3 linked regions of the Oryzias latipes genome follow. The protein of the gene in region 1 interacts with the protein of each later gene in a pairwise test. Links are inferred from orthologs where the notes say so. Each region holds a gene or a part of one and is shown in the gene's direction. Other genes may lie near its edges.

What was found.
Region 2: the proteins of ccnk (region 1) and RNA-binding protein with multiple splicing interact in binary tests that used the Homo sapiens proteins (3 or more experiments, as listed by UniProt). The two-hybrid records come from large-scale screens. The link is inferred for Oryzias latipes from reciprocal best matches to the Homo sapiens genes CCNK and RBPMS.
Region 3: the proteins of ccnk (region 1) and cdk18 interact in binary tests that used the Homo sapiens proteins (3 or more experiments, as listed by UniProt). The two-hybrid records come from large-scale screens. The link is inferred for Oryzias latipes from reciprocal best matches to the Homo sapiens genes CCNK and CDK18.

The regions. Positions count from the first base shown.
Region 1 is NC_019882.2:3,583,470-3,587,860, forward strand, and holds the start of ccnk (cyclin-K), read left to right. Parts: upstream 1-1,510; 5' UTR 1,511-1,648; coding exon 1,649-1,657; intron 1,658-2,109; coding exon 2,110-2,342; intron 2,343-2,544; coding exon 2,545-2,626; intron 2,627-2,719; coding exon 2,720-2,851; intron 2,852-2,957; coding exon 2,958-3,063; intron 3,064-3,137; coding exon 3,138-3,195; intron 3,196-3,327; coding exon 3,328-3,497; intron 3,498-3,574; coding exon 3,575-3,783; intron 3,784-3,873; coding exon 3,874-3,904; intron 3,905-4,015; coding exon 4,016-4,084; intron 4,085-4,382; coding exon 4,383-4,391. UniProt on the Homo sapiens protein: Regulatory subunit of cyclin-dependent kinases that mediates activation of target kinases.
Region 2 is NC_019876.2:8,091,892-8,095,542, forward strand, and holds part of RNA-binding protein with multiple splicing, read left to right. Parts: intron 1-2,343; coding exon 2,344-2,494; intron 2,495-3,043; coding exon of another isoform or gene 3,044-3,126; exon of another isoform or gene 3,127-3,651.
Region 3 is NC_019863.2:24,047,248-24,050,898, forward strand, and holds part of cdk18 (cyclin-dependent kinase 18), read left to right. Parts: intron 1-492; coding exon 493-616; intron 617-948; coding exon 949-1,069; intron 1,070-3,651. UniProt on the Homo sapiens protein: May play a role in signal transduction cascades in terminally differentiated cells.

The DNA.
Region 1 (4,391 bases):
GGTTTGATTTGTAACTTTGGATTTATGAATGTGCAATTTGTATAAAAAAACAATAAGAGATTAATGCTGTATGATTGTTCTTTTTATGAGATGGACAGTGGGTGAGGCCAAACATAACATGTTCTAAATAGAGTCTGTGTCAATGTGGGCGGATATGAAATTGCAATCTTTAGACCAGAGACTAGTGGAAAAGGGACATGATCAAATAAATGTACAGCATCTTCAGGGTGTTCTTGACAAAAAGAGCAGGTGACATCAACATCCTTTTTGAACCTTTGGAGATACAGTTTGGTTGGGTAGACTTATGGATTAGTTTAAATGAGATTTCTTTCACTTTATTGGTTAAGAAATATTTTTCTGGTAGATTCCAGATCTTTTTCCATGATTGGTAAACTCAATTATTCCAATAAAGTACATAGGGAATGGACACAACATCCTTCTGAAAGAGTGAGCACATGCGGCGATTTGTGTTACGTGAAGAAGAAAAACAGATTTGACCTATTTGTATTTTAGTTGGGTCAATTGGTAATAAAGTTGGACTCTGCAATGATGTTAAAAATCACATTTTTCCACCAGTGTGTTACTGTAGCGTTTCCTCTTTTCTTTTTTTTCTTTCAAAACTTTATTGAAGATGTACAGGATACAAAATCAAGTCAGTTTTTAAGTACACAGATAAAAAAAGAATAACAAAATGTGCCAGGGGAACATAAAGAATAAAGGACGAAAAAAGATTATAAACAAGAGCAGTCAAAGCAGTAAGTTGCTATTCTATACATTTAAATAACGTTTTCTCTTCTTTTTTTTTAAACTTTATTGTACAAAACGTAAGTACGATACAAAACACAATTTTACTAAATAAAATTCAGATATGCCAGGGGAGCATACATACTAAATACATTTTACATAAAAACATTCAGGTTTCTGCAACTTTCATATAGACATACTGCTTTCTGATTAAGACTCTTGGAGATGTTACTGATATACATTTCAATTTGTTTGATTAAAATAGGGAAAAATAGAAGATGGAGAAAATTTAAATGTATGTATATAAAATTTGCCAAAAATAATAACAAGATTAACTATGAGTTTTTTTGTTTGACTCCAAATTTTTATTATGAAGGCCAAAAATTATATGTTCAAACTTTAGATTAAAGTTGGGGTGAATGCGATTTCTAATAAATTGCAAACATTTTTTCCAAAATATTCTAATTATAGTACAATTCCAAAAAAGATGGTCAATTGTTTCTGGAAATTCTTTGCAAGAAGTACAGTTAGGGTCAATTGTTTTAATGTATTTTAGCATAAATTGATTGGTGCGGTAAATTTTGTGAATTATTTTATAAGAAACTTCTTTCATTTTATTATTTATCATAAATTTTTGGGTCACAGTCCAGCCTTTCTTCCAGATACTGTCGGGAACAAAACGTCTCCAGTAGGTTCTACGTAGTACACGGTAACGTTTTCTCTTCAAGCAGCGCACGCGGTTGCTTGTGACGTCATGACGTCCGTCAGCCGCACTTGACGTTCTTCAAAATGGCGATTCTGTTGTGCCAGCGGGTGTTCTGTTCGAATCTGTCGCTAACTTTGGGTGAATAACTGAAGTCTCGTGTCGCGTTTGTGCTCTCCGGTTAATCCTGTCGTCGCCTACATGATAAAGGTACGTGCTGCGTCCTTCCGCCGGAGTCCGGTGACTCCAAATTTGACTTATTTATCGTAGCTTGTCGGCTCCGGCGGCTTTGCTAGCCGTTAGCGGGTACATTCATTCAGTTTCATCGCTTTACTGGCCGGCATGTTTTGGGAACATCCCCCCCCCCCCCCCCCATTATGAGTTTTTGTTTTTTTTCTTCAAAAAAAAATCCCAATTTTTAGGTTTATTTATTAATATACTTGCATCATTAAAGAGAAAGCGGTGAACACTGGTGATCATTTTCTAAGCTTTTATTAATTTGTGAATCTCTGGCTTTTATTTTATTTTTTGGACGTTTTTACACGACTCTCTAAATAAATTTAGGCCCATTTAAATACAAAATTGTATTTAAATCAGAATGAAAGAGCTACATCTGACTGACCAAAGTTGTCCATAATATCGACATTTATTGCTATTTTCAGCAGTCCAGCAGCACAGCAGGTCCATCCACCACCTCCCCTCAGTCAATGAAGGAGTCCAAGGACTTCTCGGGCGGCCAGTCCTTCCTGGATCACATCAAGCCGTGCTGGTACTGGGACAAGAAGGATTTAGCCCACACCCCTTCCCAGTCCGAGGGTCTTGACCCCGGGACCGAGGCCCGGTACAGGAGAGAAGGAGCCCGCTTCATTTTTGACGTGGGGACTCGACTCGGCCTGTATCCTCGATGGGTTCAGTAATCTGAGCAACGGGTCTCAGTTTGCAGCTATTTGAATGCATTCTCTGTACATTTAGCTCACTTGTTTATCATGATTGGGCGATTTTAAGGCTTCTATTGTGCATGAAGTAAACTCCTATGGTGAGGGATTTACTGTTTCTATGCTTCTGTCCTTCTGAAATGGATTCTTAACTGCCAGCAGACATTATGACACTCTTGCAACTGGCATCATATATTTCCATCGCTTCTACATGTTTCACTCCTTCAAGCAGTTTCCCAGATATGTATGTTCATGATTTATTTACTCTTTTGGTATTTTTTTTTTTTTTTCATTAACACAAAAGCTAATGTGGGATTTTGGGTTTGTGTTTCTACAGGTGACGGGTGCCTGTTGTCTTTTCTTGGCTGGGAAAGTGGAGGAAACGCCAAAGAAGTGTAAAGATATCATTAAAACAGCTCGCAGTTTACTCAACGATGTCCAGTTCGCCCAGTTTGGAGATGATCCGAAGGTGCAGTTCTATTTTAATAAACAGTTTTTTTTTTTTGAATCTTTCATGCCACACATTTCTGTGAGTCTGAAGTGCAGGACAGTCATGTCTGACCTTGTTCAAACAGGAGGAGGTGATGGTGCTGGAGAGGATTTTGCTCCAGACCATCAAGTTTGACTTGCAGGTGGAGCACCCTTACATGTTCCTGCTGCGTTACGTCAAACAGCTGAAAGGTGGGACGGGGTTCGTGCAGAACCGCTGCCCCAATGGAGCTCAGAAAGACTCATGTTTTGTTTTGGTGCTTCAGGAGACAAGAACAAAGTATGCAAGGTGCTCCAAATGGCCTGGACCTTCGTCAATGACAGGTAAGAGGTGCTGATTCTCGCATTGAGCTTTTAAGAATCTTGTAGTTGTTGCTAAATGTGTGTTTGAGTTAGAATAAATCGATCTACACAGTTGAGATAAGGCCTTCACTGCTTTATTTGCGTCCCTGGCAGCCTGTGCACCATGCTGTCCCTGCAGTGGGAGCCGGAGATCATCGCCGTGGCCGTCATGTACCTAGCAGGCCGACTTTGTAAGTTTGACATCCAGGAGTGGACCTCCAAGCAATCGTCGCGGCGTTGGTGGGAGCAGTTTGTGCAGGACGTCCCAGTTGAGCTGCTTGAAGGTTAAAAAAAAAAAAAACTTTATTGTTTTCCTCAAAAACGTGGGGCTTTCAGTCACAGCTTCCTTTGGTCCCTTCAGACATCTGCCACCAGATCCTGGACCTATATTCTCAAGGGAACAAGCCCATCCCTCAGCAGGTCCAAGAGAAGGAGAAGACGGCGGCTGTCACACCCACTGCGTCGCCGGTGCCGCAGGGGCAGCTCCCAGTTTCCAACCCGCCTCCCCCACCGCCAAAAAAGACGTCGCCGCAGGGGGGCAGTCCCGCACGGCAGCTCAAACGCTCCCACGTAAGCAGGAGTCGTCTACGCAGCAGCTGTTTAACATCATTACGAGCTGTCAGATGGTAAACTCGCTTTTTTTTTTGTAAATTCTTTCAGACATCCCCTAAAGATGAACCAAAGGCTCCAGGTGAAACAATTTCTTCGTTTTTTCGCAGAAAAAATCTGCAAGAGAGAATATTTTAAATATTTGTTCCGTTTTTTTTTTTTTTTATTAATTTTTTTAATTTTAAATTTGCAGAACAAACTGGATCAAAAATTCCCCGACTGGAGAGTCCCATGCCCCCACTACCGGCTGTTCAACCACCAGGTGAGCAGCTGTTCCTGAACTTCTGTTTGTGTTGAACCGAACAGGATTAGTGTTTATACTCCAGTTTGCTGATCTGATGGCAGATTTATTGTTTGCATGTTTGGCTAGATAGGAACTGAAGCTCATAAATCAGACTTATGTAATCAGTTCGTCTGTTTCAAAACATGCAGGCTGTTCCAGACCAATCTGATTAGGGCTTAATCCAAACGAGGAGGGCTCCTCTTTTCATTGTTGGAGAACTGAGGTCATTCGAGGTCATGAAACATCTAACTTGTTGTTTTTTCTCCTCCTGTACCAGCTCCTCCTG
Region 2 (3,651 bases), on another chromosome or scaffold:
CCGCTTGGTTCAGCTCGGCCTTGCCTCAGCCCGCAGGAACGGCTCAACAAACCAACCCCCACCACTTCTTTTTTCTGCATTCTGCAAACAACATCCGACTTGTTTCCCCCCCCTGACTGATTTGACCTTTGTGCTGTTAAGGGTCTCTCCCAAACCACCAAATGACTCTTAAATTGAAGCCGTTTTTAGTTCTTGTTAATTATACGCCTTTTATTTTTTGCTCCAACTAAATGGAGCAAAAAATATTGCTTTGTTTTATAGATGTAAAATGTGTAATTTTTTGTTGTAAAAAAAAAAAGATGCATATAGTTTGCATTTCCCAATCATCTCCTCTAGGGCTGCACGAAATGAGGAAAACTCGCGATATTAGTGATCAATATTGCGATGACGATATAACTTGCGATAAATGAACTACTAACAAAAACAATAAAAACATTTCAATTTCACTGCAAAAGTTTAATTTAATAAGAGTCAAAATTCCTTAAATTATTCTCCAAATGACCTTCGTCTAATTAGGAGGGCAACATCTAACATAAGAAGCTCCATCTGATTGGTCAACAACATAAAGGACTCCATCTGATTGGTCAACAACATAAAGGACTCCATCTGGTTGGTCAACAACATGAAGGACTCCATCTGATTGGTCAAATGGAGAAAGCGATTTATTCAAATCATTAAATAGTTCAAGTTGCCATAAAATTGTTTTAGCACATTTAAGGTTTACCATTTTTGCCGACTTTTGCGATATGATTATTGCACAGCTTGAAATCGCGCTAGCGATAAATTTGCGAGTAATTGTGCAGGCCTAATCTCCACCCATAGTTTGACGTCCATCTGCGATGCGAGCCTTCCCCGTCGGCATCTGAAGAATTGGTCTAAATCAAAGATGCGTCGACGCAAAACGGGAGTTATTTTGGTTCGATTCACGTGCTTTTGTTGGAAATGTCATTGTGCTGCAGCCAGGTTTGTGTCGTCAGGTGACAAATCTTAATTCCCAACCAACACACACTGTAGGCTGCGATGGAACAGCAGCTAATTTTATCACGGGACCCCGAAAGATGAAAAGCATTCAAAGTGACAGCTCCCCGTGCAGCCACGTCCCCCCCCACCACCACCTCCTCTGGATATCTTAACAACAGAAGTGAAGACGTGGTGTCATTTAGTCCTCTGGATCGCTTCATCTAACAGAAGGCAGTAAATCTGTCACTTTCTGCCCATTAAATATCAAATCAACACATGACAGCTGAGCAGAATTAGCCACTCGGTCAGACTTTGGTCTGTAACTGAGCTCATTCAGAACATCTTTTGGGTTGAGAACCAATCTTAGCCCCATCAAAATGACCCAAAAAAAAACAATTTGGGAGAACCAATAAGCCGACATCATAATTAACTATTGAAAATAAATAAAAGCAAGCTTTAAATAGGAGGAAAAAAAGCACATCGATACATTGCTTTAAAATGTCATAAAAATTCACGACTCTTCTTAATACAGGAAAAGATAATATCTTAACCCTTTTTAAAATCCATTGGACATATAGACATAGCCATTTATACACAAACAAAACATATTTTAGAGTTATTGTTTTATTCAATCTATAAAATGTACAGAAATTATATTATTTTATACTTCTATATATTGACTTAATATACTTCTAAAATTGTTCCACTTAAGTTTGCTTTTTTTCAATTCTGCTGTTGACAGTAAAAATATTTAAACTGTGTTTCAAAATCTTTGAAACATCCTTGATTGTTTTGTTTTAGAGATAAAATTTTAATCCTGAACTTTTCATGGTTTTTTGATCAAACCGGTGGCTCTGTGTTTGTTCAATGTCCGCCCCAAAACCTAAAGGTTGTGGGTTCAAATCCCCGATCGACGCACATCAAAGTCTCTGAAAATGAGACCCAAGGCCTCCCTGATTTATGCTTAGCTTGAACCCTTTAGCACCAAAACTTTAGCTCCAGTGTTCACATCTTTTATTTTTTATTTTTATCTTTTTAATATCCATAACTCTTCTATTGTTTGTGCAACTGACTTGATTCCAGTGGATTAGAAAGCGGAGAAAAGGAACTTTTTTCCACTGAAATGCAAGATTTTACGTTAGAGAGGTGTTTACGCATGAAGAGTTATGTCAAAGAGCGTGTTATTATGGTGTTGCTGGTTTTAAAAGATTAATAAGACAAAAAACTGATATTGATTGTTAAATAATAACAAAATTGTCTATACTTAGAATTCTGTTCATATGTTAAATCACACGTTACTTTTTCAAGAAACCGGGACTCTGTGTTCCCTCAGACTTCCTTTTTTAACATTTTGTTCTTGCTAACCAGTCTTTCCGATTGCAGGGCGTCCGTTTTGATCCAGAGATTCCCCAAACCTTGCGGCTGGAGTTCGCCAAGGCCAACACCAAAATGGCCAAAAACAAGCTGGTTGGCACTCCCAACCCCCCTCCATCTCAGCAAAGCCCCGGGCCGCAGTTCATTAGCAGGGATCCATGTGAGTACTCCCCATCGTTCACCCGCCCGTCCGTTAGCCCGGATAACTTCGTCTATCTGTCTGTGCTGTTGTTTCCTTTGGCTGAAAAAGGTCGGACAGCTGTTTCCTTTGTATGGCAGTTATTTTTTTCTCCCCTCATAATTAGGACTCTACATAAGTATGAAGAATACCGTTTCTTTGTAGCAAGAGTTATTGTTTTCTGTGATGGAAATGTTTCATTCCATGCAAACCCACTTATTTTCATGAGATATTAATCAAACATTTATACACTGTTTGCTTGAAACAACCCAAACGCTGTTCTTTGAAAAGACTAGTTTGTTTCAGTAATTATTAACTGGTCTTGTTCAATACAATAAGTTCTACTCAAAACCCTGGGGGGTTTGTGAGTTTTGTCATTGCAGCTTTGTCTTTTTTTAAGGCTAGTTAAACATTTTCTTAGAGTTAAAGATTGTTTTTTTTTTTTTTTGCAAGACTCAGCCACTGATAGTTAAACATAGACCAGCTGTGGTTATACATTCTTCCTGAATGACCAAAATGTTCTTATCTCAGATCTTTTCTCTGCCAGAGAAGGGGGTGGTACTTGGTGCCTCAGAGGGAAATGGAAGGAAGCGGTTAATGAAACCCTGACGTAATCACCAGGAGAGAAATTTCTGTCATTTCCTGTTAAGACATGTTTAAATCAGAATCTTTCTGTTGTTTTTTTGTTGTTTTTGTCTGATCATGCTTGGATAAACAGTCACCGGGAGACATGGAGAGCACAGGAAATCCTACTTAAAAATCTACCACTTATCTGATGTTTTCTCCAATGAGTTGCCTCCGTGTCGTGATTTTCTGCGTTCTGACGTGTGCACTTGTCTTGTACCACTCAGCACCTCCTTCTTTACTCGAGCACTTTTTGTTGTCACCATCACTTTGCACTTATCGAGTAAATCAACATGTCTGAGGTGGTTTCCTCTGAAACGTATGGCCTTATGCGTGCAAACTGTTGGGCAATATCACACAAGCGCATTTGATCCGCATCAGAACTGAAGTTCTACGATGTTTCGCAGGTATGGAAACTCTGGTGAAGTTCTTAAACAAGGGGTTCCAATTCAAGGATTCAAGGGAGTTTTTATTGCCATCGTCAGTGAACAAAACAAACTAGGAATTTGCTGCGG
Region 3 (3,651 bases), on another chromosome or scaffold:
TTAAAAATAGCCCCCCCCCCTCCCCCCCCCTCAGCGATATCATCGTCCATCCCGATGGTTGACAGCAAACATCGTCAACGGCCAATTTAAGGGACATCGCCCAACCCTAGTGTGAACACCGCCTGTCTGTCTGAGCAGTGCTTCTTCTTCTGCGTTACTGTCAGCAACAAACACTGATACCAACACCTACAGTGCCCTCTAGTGATTGTTGGTGGGGAATTAACAAACAAAGGAGCTTATTTATTTTTTAAAAATCACATATAAGTCGTACCTGAGTATAAGTCGCACCCCCGACCAACAATGCAAAGAAGCCCAACTGAAAAATATGACATTTTCTAACATTTTGGATGTTTTGTCTTAAAAGTGTCCACTTCTTTCTCTGGACTAAATCTATTTTTAAAAATGTAAAACATTAATTTCCCGCCCTGTGTAGATAGATACATGGACGCTGAATTCTCTTACCTTTTCTTTTTTTTTTTGGGTTCCCTGCAGATTTTCATGTTCCAGTTGCTACGCGGTCTGGCCTACTGTCACAAAAGAAAAATTCTCCACAGAGACCTGAAGCCTCAGAACCTGCTCATCAACGACAAGGGCGAGCTCAAGTTGGCGGACTTTGGTAGGAAGACCTAAAACCCTTTGCAGTATGGGGCTTCCTTCCACCAGTGCTGTTTAAAAACACGCTGTTTGTCAGCTTCATTTCATTTTATTAACACGCTGGGGGCTTCCTTCTGCCCGGATCACTTCGGCAGCCTTTATGTCCCGTATCATAGCAACCAGGCCCCTCTCTCCCGAGCTTCCTCAGTTTGATGCTGAAAGTATGAAGCCAAACACACCAGCGGTGTTGATGGTTTTTGAGCAGCTACACCCAGACAGTCATAGAAATTACTGAGGAAATGTTCATTTGTGAAATATTACATATTTATTCACTGTCAATCCTGTGCTGTTTAGGTCTGGCACGAGCCAAATCTGTCCCCACAAAAACGTACTCCAATGAGGTGGTCACACTGTGGTATCGGCCGCCCGATGTGTTGCTGGGATCCACAGAGTACTCCATGCATATCGACATGTGGTGAGTCATTTACTCCGGGTTCATGGAGACTCAAAGAACCAATCACACAATTAACCTCCACAACTTTGTAGAGATTTAAGTCATTCTCACAAGCCTCTTAGTTTTGGTGTACCACAGGGCTCTGCTCTGGGACTACTACTTTTAGGCTGCTAACCTTAAGTAACACTTAAACACCACATTCCTTTTTTTTAAATCATCAGTAAAAAGTGGGGTAGTTGTTAGCATTCATGCCTCACAGTTCGAAGGCCCTGGTTCAAATCCCGTCTGGATCCATCCTGTGTGGAGTTTGCATGTTCTCTTCATTGATGGGTGGGTTTTCTTCGGTTTCCTCCCACGTTCCAAAAAGCTTCATATATGAATTGTCTCTAAATTGCCCTTAGGTGTACATGTGAGAGTAAGTGGCAGACCCAGGGCTCCAGACTGCGAGCAATTGGTCGCATTTTGCGACCAAAATTTGAGAGTGTGCGACTGAATTTTACATCCAGTCGCACATGCGCGACCAGTAAATTTGCCTCCCCCACCCTTCGTATTTTTTATACATTAAATGTGGAAGGGGCACGTCAATCATCAATGAAATAATCAATGAGACGCAAGCCCACACGGACGCAGGCAGACACACACACTCGCGCACATACTCATGAAACGCGAGCACGTACACTCTCGCGTGATACCTGTCTGTGAGGCGGCCACTGCGTGTGAGAAGAATAGGGAAAGCCACTGTGAGTGGCTAAAATGCGTGGAGGGGGCGGGGCCTAGAGATAATCGAGTGCGCGTAAACATCTGTGGGAAGGAAACTGAGACAAATATCACAACCTGATATGTGCGTCTGAACTATGGGTAAGCGAACTATTGATTCGTTCTTCCGACCTGCGGCTAGTGTACCAGTGCCAGAATGTACAGCAGGGGTCTCAAACTCGCGGCCCGCGGGCTATTTGCGGCCCCCAAGATGATATTTTGAAGGTTTAATGTTTAATATGAAGGTTTAATGTTACTGCAGACCGCCAGTTTGTATGAATGACACTTTTTCATTGTCGTGCGCGGAGCTGACCAACCAATCACAGTGGGGTATATGACTCTTGGGGGCTTGACGATGACAGGGCCTGAAAGCAGGACACCTGACAGCTCCCTCCCCGTACCACATTAAGGAGTTCCTTACTTTCCTTTAGAACGTATCTATTCGCTCGTAATTTTCTAAATACATGCAGTCCGTGCTGAACTTTTCTCTGGGTCACACAGAACCGGAGGAAGGTTTAGGTTTTGGTTACGGCGGCGCATCAAACGGTTATGCACGGCCGTTACGGCAGCACACCGCTCCCGCGGGAGTCGGGTCAGCTGAGGAGAATAAATGTCCCACACCTACATGCGTGACAGCTAACGGGGCTTGAACTTTAAACACACTCGAGCAAAAACAACATTAGTTTTAGACTCACTGAAAATACGTGGGGAAAATGCAACGACAGACGTGTTTGAGATGAACCGGCGGCTCGCCTGAATCGTTGGGGAGACCAGGCGGGGGGGGGCTGTGAGATGAAGGCGAATCTGCAGCAAGACTGAAGGAGAACAGGAAATTGGAGTTGTCCTTAACATTCAATTTAGTTTCAATATTCTTCTCCCCCTTAGTATGATCTGTGTTATTATATATTTTATGATTATTTTAATGTTTTGTGATGTATGTAGCCTTTTTTAATGAATTGGTATTTTAAATTATTTTAATTAATCACTCCACTACAAAAACCATCAGGACACATGTCCCATAATGCATTGTTTTGTAGTCTGTAGGGCAGCTTTCAGTCAGTTCAGTTTCCAGCTGTGTCCGGGTAGGTTTGCCCCTTGCTCCCACCCCTTTGTCACGATATTTTTGTGATGATTGACAGTTGATGTTGGAGCAAAAACAAAAATATATGTCACACACCAGGGGTTCTGTGCAGCGTTGAGTTCACCTGGGTGATCTCAAACACGCTTATTGTGCATCTTGGCTGCACCTATTTGGTGTCACAAAGATAAATTTCCATCCGTTTTCTTTACTTATTTGTACTGTCATGACAGCGATGGTGCTGTCAGTTTACCTTCTTGTTGCATCTTCAAAAGTGCAGAATAAAATGTGACACTGAATTAGAAACAGCACATTGTAATTTCTGCATCTATTATTAAAGTATTTATTAGTAATACAGGGGAAATTAGTAGATTTGGTTAGAATGTTGATTTACGGTATGCGCCCCTAAATTTTCTGGTTGAGCCCCTAAAATTTTCAGTTGGGGGCCACTGTGCTCCTAGTGAAAAAAGTTAGTCTGGAGCCCTGGGCAGACCTGTTTAGGGTGTACTCTGTCTCGCCCAACAGTAGTTGGGTTGACCCCAAAGGTGGCTTATGACGATGGATGGATGGTGAATGACTTCATTCCTGCTAATTCTCTATAAATGTATCTGTTGCTGTGACTCAGCTTTACTTGTCCATTAGGTACAAAATCAACCAACTTCAAGGTTTCTTCTCCAAAATGCAGATCAAACTGGACTTTAGTGTAATTTTACAAACATGCCTCACATCCACGTGCAGCTTCGACTGAGACTTTTGTTTTCAGGCAAAC